Astyanax mexicanus: one gene and its partner. The protein of the gene in region 1 binds, or shares a complex with, the protein of each later gene. Links are inferred from orthologs where the notes say so. Each region holds a gene or a part of one and is shown in the gene's direction. Other genes may lie near its edges.

The links. The genes of interacting proteins can lie anywhere in the genome.
Region 2: dpm2 (region 1) and dpm3 share a complex: the UniProt entries of both Homo sapiens proteins name them as parts of the dolichol-phosphate mannose (DPM) synthase complex. The link is inferred for Astyanax mexicanus from reciprocal best matches to the Homo sapiens genes DPM2 and DPM3.

The regions. Positions count from the first base shown.
Region 1 is NC_064408.1:13,684,274-13,691,418, forward strand, and holds the start of dpm2 (dolichol phosphate-mannose biosynthesis regulatory protein), read left to right. Parts: upstream 1-4,130; 5' UTR 4,131-4,139; coding exon of another isoform or gene 4,140-4,142; 5' UTR 4,143-4,154; coding exon 4,155-4,190; intron 4,191-5,182; coding exon 5,183-5,272; intron 5,273-6,017; coding exon 6,018-6,120; intron 6,121-6,818; coding exon 6,819-6,874; 3' UTR 6,875-7,145. UniProt on the Homo sapiens protein: Regulates the biosynthesis of dolichol phosphate-mannose. Regulatory subunit of the dolichol-phosphate mannose (DPM) synthase complex; essential for the ER localization and stable expression of DPM1.
Region 2 is NC_064410.1:27,956,854-27,963,686, reverse strand, and holds dpm3 (dolichol-phosphate mannosyltransferase subunit 3), read left to right. Parts: upstream 1-3,827; 5' UTR 3,828-3,933; intron 3,934-5,369; 5' UTR 5,370-5,388; coding exon 5,389-5,667; 3' UTR 5,668-6,781; downstream 6,782-6,833. UniProt on the Homo sapiens protein: Stabilizer subunit of the dolichol-phosphate mannose (DPM) synthase complex; tethers catalytic subunit DPM1 to the endoplasmic reticulum.

The DNA.
Region 1 (7,145 bases):
GCCCATTTAAATAGGGCTCATTTGACCCAGTGATTAGACTCAGCTACAAAAGCTACAATGGGAAAGTCAAAGGAACTCAGTGTGGATCTGAAAAAGCGAATTATTGACTTGAACAAGTCAGGGAAGTCACTTGGAGCCATTTCAAAGCAGCTACAGGTCCCAAGAGCAACTGTGCAGACAATTATACGCAAGTATAAAGTGCATGGAACAGTTGTGTCACTGCCACGATCAGGAAGAAAACGCAAGCTATCACATGCTGCCGAGAGGAGATTGGTCAGGATGGTCAAGAGTCAACCAAGAATCACCAAGAAGCAGGTCTGCAAGGATTTGGAAGCTGATGGAACACAGGTGTCAGTCTCCACAGTCAAGCGTGTTTTACATCGCCATGGACTGAGAGGCTGCCGTGCAAGAAAGAAGCCCTTGCTCCAGAAAAGGCACCTTAAGACTCGGCTGAAGTTTGCTGCTGATCACATGGACAAAGATAAAACCTTCTGGAGGAAAGTTCTCTGGTCAGACGAAACAAAAATTGAGCTGTTTGGCCACAACACCCAGCAATATGTTTGGAGGAGAAAAGGTGAGGCCTTTAATCCCAGGAACACCATGCCTACTGTCAAGCATGGTGGTGGTAGTATTATGCTCTGGGGATGTTTTGCTGCCAGTGGAACTGGTTCTTTGCAGAAAGTAAATGGGATAATGAAGAAGGAGGATTACCTCCAAATTCTGCAGGAAAACTTAAAACCATCAGCCCGAAGGTTGGGTCTTGGGCGCAGTTGGGTGTTCCAACAAGACAATGACCCAAAACACACATCAAAAGTGGTAAAGGAATGGCTAAACCAGGCTAGAATTAAGGTTTTAGAATGGCCTTCCCAAAGTCCTGACTTAAACCCCATTGAGAACATGTGGACAGTGCTAAAGAAACGGGTTCATGCAAGAAAACCATCACATTTAGCTGAACTGCACCAATTCTGTCAAGAAGAGTGGTCAAACATTCGACCTGAAGCTTGCCAGGAGCTTGTGGATGGCTACCAAAAGCGCCTAGTTGCCGTGAAAATGGCCAAGGGACATGTAACCAAATACTAATGTTGCTGTATGTATATTTTTGACCCAGCAGATTTGGTGACATTTTCAGCAGACCCATAATAAATTTATGAAAGAACCAAATTTTATGACTGTTTTTTGTGACAAACATGTATGTGTTCCGATCACTCTATCACAGAAAAATAAGAGTTGTAGAACTTATTGAAAACTCAAGACAGCCATAACATTATGTTTTTTTACAAGTGTATGTAAACTTTTGACCACAACTGTAGGTTGCTCTCTTTTTACACAGCAGAGAGAGAGAGAGAGAGAGAGAGAGAGGCAAACAAGACTACAGTTACTGTAGCACACTTCCTAAACCACTACAATACCAACAATACCATGCTTACAGCTTAAATGAATAAATTACTCTCCATGAGACAAGTGTGTGTAACCAACCGTAACCCCCAAACTGAGGGATTAGTATGAATACACAATATACACTACTATTATGGTACTAAAGCTAATTCACAAATTACATTATTATGAAATTCAATAAGACTAAAAAGTAAATGTTCTGCTTAAATGTGTTCATCTACATAAAAATCCATTTTACAGTTTACCCTGAGTTAGATTGTGCCTCACTCTGCCTTACATTATTATCTCACTAAGCTTGCATTTATCGAATTAGTGTCTTATCTGGGTGAACACTGAGTGAACAAGGTTTTTTTTTCTTTTGTAGTTTTTAGGCTACTACACTAGTATCAAGGGAATCTAAATCAAAAGACTTTATTTAAAATAATCACACCCTTTCTTGTTGTCTGTGCTCTGACAGACAGTCTGTTCACTATCTTTCTTCGTACTGCCCTCCTTGCTAACAATATGAGCGATATGCTAATGCTATCGCTAATGCTAACGCTAACACTGTCCTGTTTTTTGGGATTTCCAAACCAGCAGGCTGGTTTATTTTAGACTTTCTCCACATACAGTGTTTGTTTCTTATCAGATCGCTCTCTGGTAAGTCTTTAATGTTTAATAAACTTTGTGACAGCATGAAAATGATCAATGTATTTGCTACTTAAAGAGGCTAATGTTGTTATTTTATTTGTCTTGTTTTATTTTCCTGTATTACAAAAAAAAATGAGCCTCTTGTATCAGTCGTGATGGACTGTAACCTGTGACTGATCTTTCTTTTCACTCACAAACGTCGTTCTGTAAACGTGATTTAAGATGCTGTTGTGGGAAGACAAGTACTGAGTATTGGGACGAATGAGGGGGAATAAGGGGTATTTGTGTGATTTGCTACATCTTACATTATAAAAGAGTAAGAACGCTTGAAGGCCATTGTGTAATTCACTCTGATTTACGTTGTTTCTGAGGAATTCTCCTCTAACGTGGTGTGTTTTCAGCATTTTTGATTGAGAGTATTAATTCTACACGTAATGTTAAACTACACTGTGATCTCCAGAGTAGAATCATCGGCCAACGAATAAAGATATCTTTCACCACAACGGCACTTAAATACTAACTTTAAAGAAACAAAAACCTGCTAAATCCTCCACAACTAATGCTGTTTGTCTTCTTTCTCTCTCATTTTGTAAAAGATTCAAACGCTATGCACTTGGGTCAGACAGAAAGACTCCATTTTTTGACCACTATACTGGTTACAATTAACAAATGATCGATATATTGAAAGATTACAGATTTCTATGAAAACGCAGTATCTATATTTAACTTTACCACAAAAGTGATGAGTTTATTTTTCTGATTATATAAAGAATTATTTGAATATTTCTATTTTATGATCACACAAATAATTTCCAAAGTTTTCTTGACCTCACATTCGGTTTTATTTGGTGTATGACTGTATGTCTCATGATGGATCTAAACTATATTTCTACACTCAAATATGAATGTTTCGTATTCTGTAATGTAAATGTGTATTTGGAGGTGTATTAATGTCATATTTTTGGGGAAATAAAGCAAATGTGGGGCATCCTAAAATCACTGTTGTGTCTTTTTTTTACTATCCCTCCATACAACTGGAATATCACTTCAGCGTTATTGAAGTGTGTCTTAATTTTTTTTTTTGTGAATGTGAATTTCTGAGAAATATATATTGAATGTATGATGTAGATTCAAGCTCATCAAAGCGAGATCTGTTGCTTACAATGCATGATCAGCTGTAGGTCGATTGAGCTTCAGGTAGGGGCGGCTCTTTTCTGCCTTCTAGTGTACAAAATTTTGCAGTAAACGGTCAGAGCCTATATATTTATGATAAAAACAGGAAAAAATGCATATATATATATATATATATATATATATATATATATATATATATATATATATATATATATATATATATATATAGCAGGGGTGACTTTTAGCAAACAAATCATTGGTTAACAGCTTACAACTAAGTAAGTAGCAATGAAAATTACCTGAGCTTAATTTTTTTTTTTTAAATATCAATTTCCAAAGCCTTTTGTCTGAAGTAAAGCAGTGCTGGAACATATGGTGTTACTGTACTCTGTACTGCAGCATTTACACACTTACACTCAGCACATTCACATTTTTATCATAATAACTAGAAAAAGAAACAGAACACACAGAAATTACAGATGACAACGGTGAGTACCGTTTCCTACACCTTCAAAAGACTCTTGGAAACTGGAAAAAAGTCTGGTACAGGAAAAGGTCTGGCTGACCCACATGGCAACGATTTTAGCTCATCTTGACATTGGACTAAGTCTCGGTTTCAGCAGTGAGGAGAAGAATTAAGGGTCTGACAGGCAAAGAAATGCAGTAAAAAGACATTGATAAGAAGAGAAAATAAAAAAGCACTTTAGTTCAAATTAAACTCAATAGAAAAAAGAACAGCAGTACTGTTGTACTGTAAATGTAATAGTTTAAGTGTATTTTAAGTGTAATCGTTTAAGTGTATTAGGTGAACAGTGATGTATTGCGATGGGTCGGTGTTGTCTCCCTCTCGTGGTGAGGGCGTATTTTTGTCATTTCAAATCTCATTTCAAATAAACTACATTTCCCATAATGCCTGTTATACGTACACCGAAAACGCCTGACGCAAACGGAAGAACGCGTTGCAGAGTGACGAGTTCGTGATGGTAAGCTGAAAGATGAAGATTTGTAGAAGATTATCCTGTTATTATAGTGTAATATATTTATTATATGAAGTTATTCATGATAATTGGTCATATATTTGCGCTTCCTGGCCTTTAAATCGTTTAAAAATAGGTTTAAATTAGTTTTAGGGCCGATTAAGTTCACTGAGAGCTCAGTTAGCGTTAGCTAGCTTTAGCTAAATAACTGTTAGACTGTGTTTATCTGTTTTTTTTAGTTATTGTTGGTTTAAATATCGTTTAATTGGAAAATAAACCTTTTATTAGTGTATGAGATATGTATATTAGTGTACTGCGATATACTGAGCTCATGCTTGTGTGTTTATGCCCCTCATTCTGAGGTATACAAGCAGGATCATTGACTGACTAGTGCATCTAAAAAAATAGAATATCATTAAAAATAAGTTACTTTATTTCAGTAATTCAGTTAAGAATGTGAAACTCATATATTATATAGATGTATTAAACACAGAGTGATTTATTTTAATTGTTTATTTATTTTATTGTTGATGATTATGGCTTACTTTTGGCTACAGTGTGGGCAGTGTGCCAAGTCCTGCTGGAAAATAAAATCCTCATCTCTATAAAAGTTGTCAGCAGAGGGAAGCATGAAGCGCTGTAAGATTTTCTGGGAAAACAAAACTGCACTGACTTTAGACTTGATAATAAAACACAGTGGATCAACACCAGCAGATGACATGTCTTTCCAAACCATCACTGATCATCAGTAAATTTTACATTTCATTTGTAAATCAAAGGAGCAGAGTCTGGAGGAAGAGTGGAGAGACACACAGTCCAAACTGCTTGAGGTCTAGTGTGAAGTTTCCACCAATCAGTGATGGTTTGGAGAGACGTGTCATCTGCTGGTGTTGATCCACTGTGTTTTATTATAAAGTCCAAAGTCAGTGCAGTGTTTTCCCACGAAATCTTACAGCATTTAATGCTTCAGCCTAAGGATGAAACTACCTGTATTTAGGGTAACTGTTGATTAGTGTTGATTAAAACTTCTCTTTTCCTCTGAAAAGGCGACCGGAGCAGACCAAGCTGTGGGTTTGGGTCTCGTTGGCTTCAGTCTATTATTGTTCACATATTACACCCTATGGGTTATAGTGCTGGTAAGTAAAACAAATCCTATCTACCTTCTCTCAGTTCTAACACAGAAACTGTACTAAAGTGAAAGTAACGGGTACTGATTAGAAATTGTGCTTAGTGGAAGAAGTAGCAGAGAGTAGCAGGGGACCCACTAATAATGGAAGTTCAGTGAGTCTCACTCATTTTAGTAGGTGTTCCCTAATGCCTGAAAAATATATGACGTAGCTACATCCCTGAAATTAGAGTAGGGATGGGCAATATGGCACAAAACAGCACTGTACCTGTATATTTATCAAAGTATTATGATTCCGCACTGACTGCAGTGATTTCCTTCGAAAATTGCTGCGATAGGTCCACTTATTTTGTGTGTATGGATCAGACCTAGCAATGCTGCTGGAGTTTTTAAACACTGTTCTTCACTCACTGTCCTCCACTCTATTAGACACTCCTACCTACTGTAGCTCCTCAACCTCGTAGATAAATTAAAGTAAAGTCAGAGACAGAAGCTCTGAATCTCTTGCTGCACAGTTTGTGTTGGTCATCATTATTCTGAGTTCAGCATTGACACTGCGATGTTTAAAAACTCCAGCAGCACAACTGTTTTTGATCCACTCGTACCAGCACAACACACACAAACACCTCATACACCACCACCATGCCAGTTTTACTGCAGTACTAAGAATGAATGATCCTGAACCCAAATAATGATACAAACAGACATCTGTCACAACATAAAAACTAACCAGATCTCTTCTGCTCTCTCTGCAGCCATTCGTAGACAGTGATCATGTGATCCACAGTTACTTTCTTCCTCGTGAGTACTCGGTCATACTTCCAGGAGTAGCAGCACTGATTCTTTTACTCTGTGTCGGTAAGTAAAGAAAAATACATTTCTTTATAGATAAATTAAAAGTTTAATTACACAATAAAAATGTTTTCTTGTAATAAATAATAAATCAAAAATAGACTCTTGAGTTTTCTCATTATTAGGTTCTTGCAGGGATTGTAAACACGTTGATTTATTTATCAATTATTTTCTTAATAGCAAGTTATCATATTATTATTTGATTATTATGTGCATGTAAACATTTTTAATTGCACCTGAGCAAAAAGACTACTTCTTTTTGGTGCTACAAATAAATACTGTTTTTTAAACTTCTCTTTTGCAAAAGTTTTCATCAAAAACTACAACACAATTAATTTTAAACTTAATTTAAAACCATCATTTAGTAATCAGATTTGATTCTCATTCTTTTTAATTTCATTAATGTATTTTTATGTTTTACATTGAAAAATCCATTCACTGTTAAGTGTTATTTATCTAAATGTATCTTCCTGTCTTTTTTTACTATGAAGTGTTTGTTTCTAATCCTAATTCATTGTTGTTTACCAACTTGTAAAGCCCTTTAAATGTTAAGCTTATTTGTTTAAAAATAATACTAATATAAATAGTTGGTTAATTGCTAGAATAATCGTAGTTAGGGATGCACAATAAATGTTTTTTTATTTGACATAATTGCCAGTATTTGCTTTTTCAGTGGATTTTATTCCATTTATTTTTATCCACAGGCACCTTCATAGGAGTAGTAACGTGGAAGAATCGTAAACCAAAGAAAGTGGACTGAGGTTGTCCAGTGATGAAATCTCTCAGCTGCCCAAGACTGGACATTAAATTTAAACCCAGCTCTTCTCTGAAGCTTGCTGATCGTTCCTATAGACTCCTCCCAGCAGGCTGTGCAGCAGTATGTAAGAGGCTGATGAAATCACCAGTGATTTGTAAGAGGGCCCTGGCAACACTGCATCTCTATAAACAACAGGACACCATACCCTAGCATTGAAAACCCAGTGACCACAGCAACCTCAGCCACAGGACAGACCATGTAACGATTAGTTTAT
Region 2 (6,833 bases), on another chromosome or scaffold:
TTTATTGTGATGCTGCTTGATTTGTATGCTGTTTAATGTTGCTGTCAGACAAAAACTTCATATTTCCAAAATGTCATCTTTACAAGAGACAGGGGAACTTTTAATGGACATCAAGGCATAAAGACAATTTATTCCAAATAATTTTTGAACATTTCTATTGGTCCATTCATTTAGAATTTTTTATACAATGTACAGAACAACTGCCAGATCCAAATTATGTTACATTGTCCAAGATACAACTAAATATAATGTAATATTTAAATAAAAACAATTAACAAAGGTTAAAAGTCCTAACGATAATAAAAAAGGTACTTTACTTAGATAACCCTATTACCTAAACATATTCATCCTTATAAGGCACTGGGAAGTATTCTAGAGAAAAATCAATTCTCTTTTTTTATATGTATGTATTTATTATTATTATTTTTTTTTATTTACCAATTCAGTTCAAATGATTAGGCATGAAAATAAAAAAAATGATACATCAAAGTATTGTCATATTTTATTTTGCAATACTGTATTTATTTTATAAAACACACTATAATTTTTTTACTTTTAGATTACATGTAAAGATTAGTAGTACACTTTGGTTCATTTTGTGCTGCAGTGCTTTTATTTATTTATTTTTTTGTTAACTGAAAGTAGTAGTGTTCCTAAGTGGGGTGCGGACAAAATATTATAATAAATGGCATCAATGTGCTTCTGCTACCATTTCTGCAAAGCCACATTTGTTCATTAAATAAACACAAAAAAACAGGGTGTTTGGTAGATTCCTGTACCTTTTTCTGGCTTTAGGGTTGCCTGAGCAATCATGGTGCTGCTATTGGTGCTGATACAAGAGCTACTGCAAACTGATGTCAGAGAATCATACAATTAGAACTGAATAGAGCTGGAGAGATAAACAGAATCCTGCAATTTTAAATAAAATGGGTTTAACATATTTATTTAACAGAATAATAATAATAATTCTATCAATATGTTATCACTACAGTATCTCTAATATACTCCGTGTTGTTAGCATGGATGCTATTTAATCACATTTGTGTAAATCATTATATGATTTAAAAAAAAATGATGTTATAACAAACTTATTTTCCAGTGTTAAACCAGCTACGCCCCTTCGTAGCTTTTCCTCTAACTGAACACACATTTAGCCTAGCTGTACTGTAAAAAATACTTAAAACTTCCACACTAGTTTATATGGAAGCCCATTTACGCCACTTGGAAAAATAAATGTCCTTCACTAAGTCAAAATTATGAAAGGCAAAGTCATAATTATGTGGTAGTTACTTAAAATTATGAGGTAACTACTCATAATTATGAGATACTAAGTCATAATTACAAGTAACTACCACATAATTATGACTTTGCCTTTCATAATTTTGACTTAGTGAAGGACATTAATTTTTCCAAGTGTGATGAGAATGATGAAAGGCTAAGTCATAATTATGAGATATTACTCATTATTATGAGATACTATAGCATTGTTTTGAGATACTAGGTCATAATAATGACATACTAAGTCATAAATATGAGATGTCTTATGTTATGATTATGACTTAGTATCTCAAAATAATGCCTTAATATCTCATGATCTCATAATTAAGACTTATTTCAAAATAATACCTTAGTATCTCATAATTATGACTTAAAATCTCATTTATATGACTTAATATATCAAAATAATGCCTTAGTGTCTCATAATTATGACTTAGTATCTTATAATTGATGACTTATTTGAATAACTTAGTGTAGGACCCTTATTTTTGAGGTGGAAATGAGTTTCCATAGATTTAAGCGTATTTATACTAGTCTGGTTACTTGGATAAACTGTATTAGGCATACTAAAGTTTAAAATACAAACGTGCTGTTTTACTGGTGACCGTATTTGAATCTGTTTCTCGTTATCTAGCTGAGCTGGCACATTAAGAAAGGTTTCTCACAAATATAAACATCACCCAGAATAACCCAGCATTTGTCTAGACTTTGTTTACGTGTTGGGGGCTGGCAGTCGTTGCCCGCGGAGTATCAAGTTTGCTTGTGGACGTCACTCAGGTCACGGCCTCTGCTGCCCGTCGAGGCCTCGCCATCCTCAGCACTGAATGGACGGATGTACCCCTGCAAAGATCCTGGACCGAGCTGACACTGAGGAAATCAGAAAAGAAGTGCTCAGCACTGGAATTTCACTAAAATTACATCAAAATAAGTACAGGTTACTGATAAGTACGACGCTTCCCACATAAATCCTACATAATACTTTTCCAAACTGAGAAAATGTGATGAATCAAAGTTTACCCTTTAGCACTAACAGGCTAGGCAGGCTAGCAGGATACAGCTTTTCAGAAATACTTCCTGATGGCAAATAATTGGATTCTGTCTCAGTAAAGAATTATACCAGGTTATGAAGTGTAGTTTTTGAAATGTTCTTATTTATCTTATCTTTCCTGTTTCTCATACAGTACAGCATATAATGATATCTGACTGCAGAGCCACGGCGCTGCAGCTTGACTCCAGCAGCTGTTCTAGGTTATATTTCCTTTCTTTGCTTTATCTTAAGAAGTGTTAGGCTAATTCATATTTTGGCTGTTGATATATTTTTAATACCCAGTATTTGGCTAACACCATATTTTAAGTTTAAGGAAACTTTAGACTGTATGCTTTCAGACATTCATTGTAAAAAACACACTTACTCGCACATAAGCTTAGCTTAGCTTATGTAGCCAGAGTAAGCTATGTTAGCAGCTAGACATAGCTGATGATAGCTATCTCTGAATTAAGCAAAATCCTTGGAATTACCTTTGTAGTCTAAAACAAACTTTATTTATTTAGACATTTACAGTGTAATTCTTATACAAACTTTAGTGTATTTAGTCTAGCTTGGTAAGCTGTTAAGCTAAAGGGTTAGCTATGTAAACACCCCATAAGAACATAATGGCTTAATTGACTGAAATTATTATTTGCACATAATATATGGCAGCTAAAAGCTGACATATGAATATTTGATTCTGCATTTTGTATATCGTTGCTGTCCTATGAAAAACACTTATCTCCGTTTTTGTCGATTTTCAGTTTAGTACATAATTTGAACAGACAAACTGTCTTTTACACTGTGTCAAAATTTCTTGATGAACGGACCAATAGAAACTCTTCAAAATTACTTGAAATAAACTGTTTTTACATTGACTTCCATTGAAAGTTTACAAGGTTTTTTCCCTCTCCTGTAAAGTTGCTGTTTTGGAGATAAGTGTTTTTCATTGGACAGCGACGATATGTGAATTAAATTTACTTCCCCATTAAAACCGCTATTAGCTGTTACCCATAGGCAACAAATCTTTCTGGATTTTTCTTACCTCTGGCCTAAATTTGTATTTCTGATTTATGGATCAGATAAAAAAAAATCTGATTTTTTTTTTTTTTTAACAGCACATTTTACCACCTCACAATGACAAGACACACACACAAAAATATTAGTATTATATTTACATTAAATATTTAAGTGTTTTAAGTCAAATTTAATTGAAATATAAAAAAAAATACAAATTTAAATACTAGTTTAATCTTTTAAGCTCCATAAAAATATTCTGACCTATCCTTGACTTTAACCTCTAGGTTGAAAGCAAAGGAGGAATAAAACTAATTTACACAAGCTTAAACTGAATCTGATATTTTATTTAAATTAATTACTCTTTTTGAGTGACTGTACACATGCTGATATACACAAGCGATCAGTAATCAGACCGTGAACAGTCGCTGTCTGTAGAGCACAATCACTCTGGACTGTGCTCTCGGTGCCGCTGGTCTGCTGGAGTGAATCTGCGCTCTGCGGTCAGACTCGTCTCGAACTACAGCGGTGAACTACAACTCCCAGCAGCCTCAGCGAGCTAAAGGCGTCATTGCTGTGCGCGCGCTCTGAAGTGGTGAGCTGGCTGAGAGGTAAGATAAATAACAGGCGTTTATAAAGACCGGAGATTACATGTACACGTCTCTGTGTGTTTTTACTGTCAGTAAATATCTTTACCCTGCTGTGTGTTAAACAGCCGGGTCAGATCTGTGATTTATTTAGCGCTTTATTCAGCGCGGGAGCTGATTAAACAGTTAGCCCAGCGGCTAACTACTCACACTGTCAGCGAGTAACGTTACTGTGAGAATTAGAAATATTTCTCTATTAAAGGAGATACTGATAGATAAAAATACCTCTTGCATGGAATATTGAAATTCTATGGGTTGTTAATATCAGTTTCAACGGGGATCTCTCCAATTTGGATATAATATGTGTAGTTAGTTAACAGGTTAAATGCTTATAACTAAGTAATGCTAGCTACAAACTTGAGAGGGGATAAATAAGCCTGTCATGATAACCATATTTTGGGTGATTTATTGTCTCAGAAATCAGTGCGATATTATCGTCTCACTGGCATTTTAAGATAAATTAATGCCACTGATATACAGATAATAAAATAGCATCAATATAAAACAATTGCATATTATTTTTACTTCTAGTATTATTAGAACATTCAAACATTACATTAAGAATTGTATTTAAAAATGCTTAAATATCCTAAATAAATAAAACATAAATATAATAAAAAAACAATAGCTCTGTAAAAAAATTAGACCACTTCAGTTTCTAAATCAGTTTCTCTGATTTTGCTATTTATAGTTATATGTTTGAGTAAAATGAACATTGTTGTTTTATTCTATAAACTACAGACAACATTTCTCCCAAATTCCAAATAAAAATATTGTCATTTAGAGCATTTATTTGGAGAAAATGAGAAATGGCGGAAATAACAAAAAAGATGCAGAGCTTTCAGACCGCAAATAATGCAAAGAAACCAAGTTTATATTTATAAAGTTGGTAAGAGTTCAGAAATTAATATTTGGTGGAATAACCCTGGTTTTTAATCACAGTTTTCTTCCATCTTGGCATGTTCTCCTCCACCAGTCTTACACACTGCTTTTGTACAACTTTATGCAATTCCTAGAGCACACATTCTTAAATAAACACAATTGGCGACATTGAAGTTAGCAAAAATGATTGAGATTAAGTCCATATATTGTACAATAAGTCAATAATATAAATAATTTCTGTGACAGACCATAAATAAATAAAGTGTAATCCATAATAAATAATTTTTTATGCTAATTTTTATCTTGCCTTATAATGGTTTTGGAAAGTTTTGAGCGATTGCTTTTACTTGTTTGTAGCACTCTTGCACCTTTATTTTAGGATATTTTGTGTGAATTGATACAAAAAGTAATTACATATTTAATGTTAATTGTCACATGAAGTATATAAGAAAGGCTAACACATGTAAATTCTCATCTAACTCTGTTGGTTTGCTGTCTGTTTGTTCTTTGGTCTCTAGGTTATCCTGATCTTTCAACATGACCAAACTTCTGCAGTGGCTTCTGGGCGTGTCGCTGATCGGGATTGCATGGGGACTGGTCACATTTGACCTCCTGGACTTGCAGTTGCCAGCAGTGTACAAGGAAGTGGCCTGGCCAATGCCTGTCTACCTTCTGGTGGTGTTTGGATGCTACTCACTGGCAACAGTCGGCTATAGAGTCGCCACCTTCAATGACTGCGAGGAGGCAGCCAAAGAGCTTCAGGCACAGATAAAAGAGGCCAAAGCTGATTTAAAAAAGAAGGGACTGAAGATGTGAAAAACAACCAACAGAATCATCTAGCCTGTACGAACATTGTTGAACTGTTATCAAGCCATAGATGGATGAATTATGTGATGATAGTTTTCACCAGTTTGCTAAATCTTCCTGACTTAAATCCAGAAATTGAGAGCTTGCAGTGGAAACTAGAATTGTTTTAAAAACATTAAGACCTAAAATATGTTCTGCAGATGTAGATGATATTTTTCCTTTATTTTTCCTGTCCCAACAGTCCGTATAAAACCTTGCTGAAACATGTATAAAATGCCAGTGAAGAATGTGCTATTTCAGTGCAGCTTCCAGGGCATGTGTATTTGGGCTGGCTTGGGATTGAAGATCTGTCTGTGTTTTTGGATCCAGTGTTTTTAGCATAGTCAGAATTCTCAGTCAATTCTAGAGTTAGTAACAGCCGTACTGCATGGCTTCATGTTTGTGCGAGAGAGCTGTAGCGTGACCCTCGCGCTAACAATACCGCTAGATATAAAACCGGGAGACTGATTTTTAATGAGTTTGATAATAGGGTAACAGTGTTCAAGAAGTGCACCCATGAGTGCACAGGAATGTCTGCGGCAAAAAAAAAACGCTGAGCTCTGTTACTGTTTTAAGATAGAGCTGATTGTGTAATCTGTACTGTTCTGTTCCACTCAATGGTATTGGGTTGTGTTACCATGAACTTCTGGGTCTGCATTCATACAGCGGTGTGTGTTGAGTTCGGATCAGATACATTTTACTACTGACCAGACATTTTTCTTCCTGACCACCAATTATCTCGCATCAGTGAAATGGACGTTGTCCAGACAACTGCATTAACTAAATTTAGTGATAAGTTTCTGTTGGTTTCTAATAGAGTCTGTTAAAGGAATCCAAGGTCCTTTCGTTTTTTTCTTAATGAATGATTTATAGTTTACTGCACTGTAATTCGCTGAAGGGGTCACGGCTGTGAAATGTGAACATGATGTGGTCCACTGTTTAAAAAAAAAAAAAAAAAAAAGCTTTGTAATGTACAAAACTTGCACAGTTCTTGTTTTTTTTTGTCTACATTCCATATTTTGCTGAATGTTCGGGGCTCTAAGGCTTGATGTAAAATACAGACTATTTTTCCACATAACCATCATCGTTTGATTAACAGTGTCTTTTGTTTTCATTCCAAATGTGGTGCGAGTGCC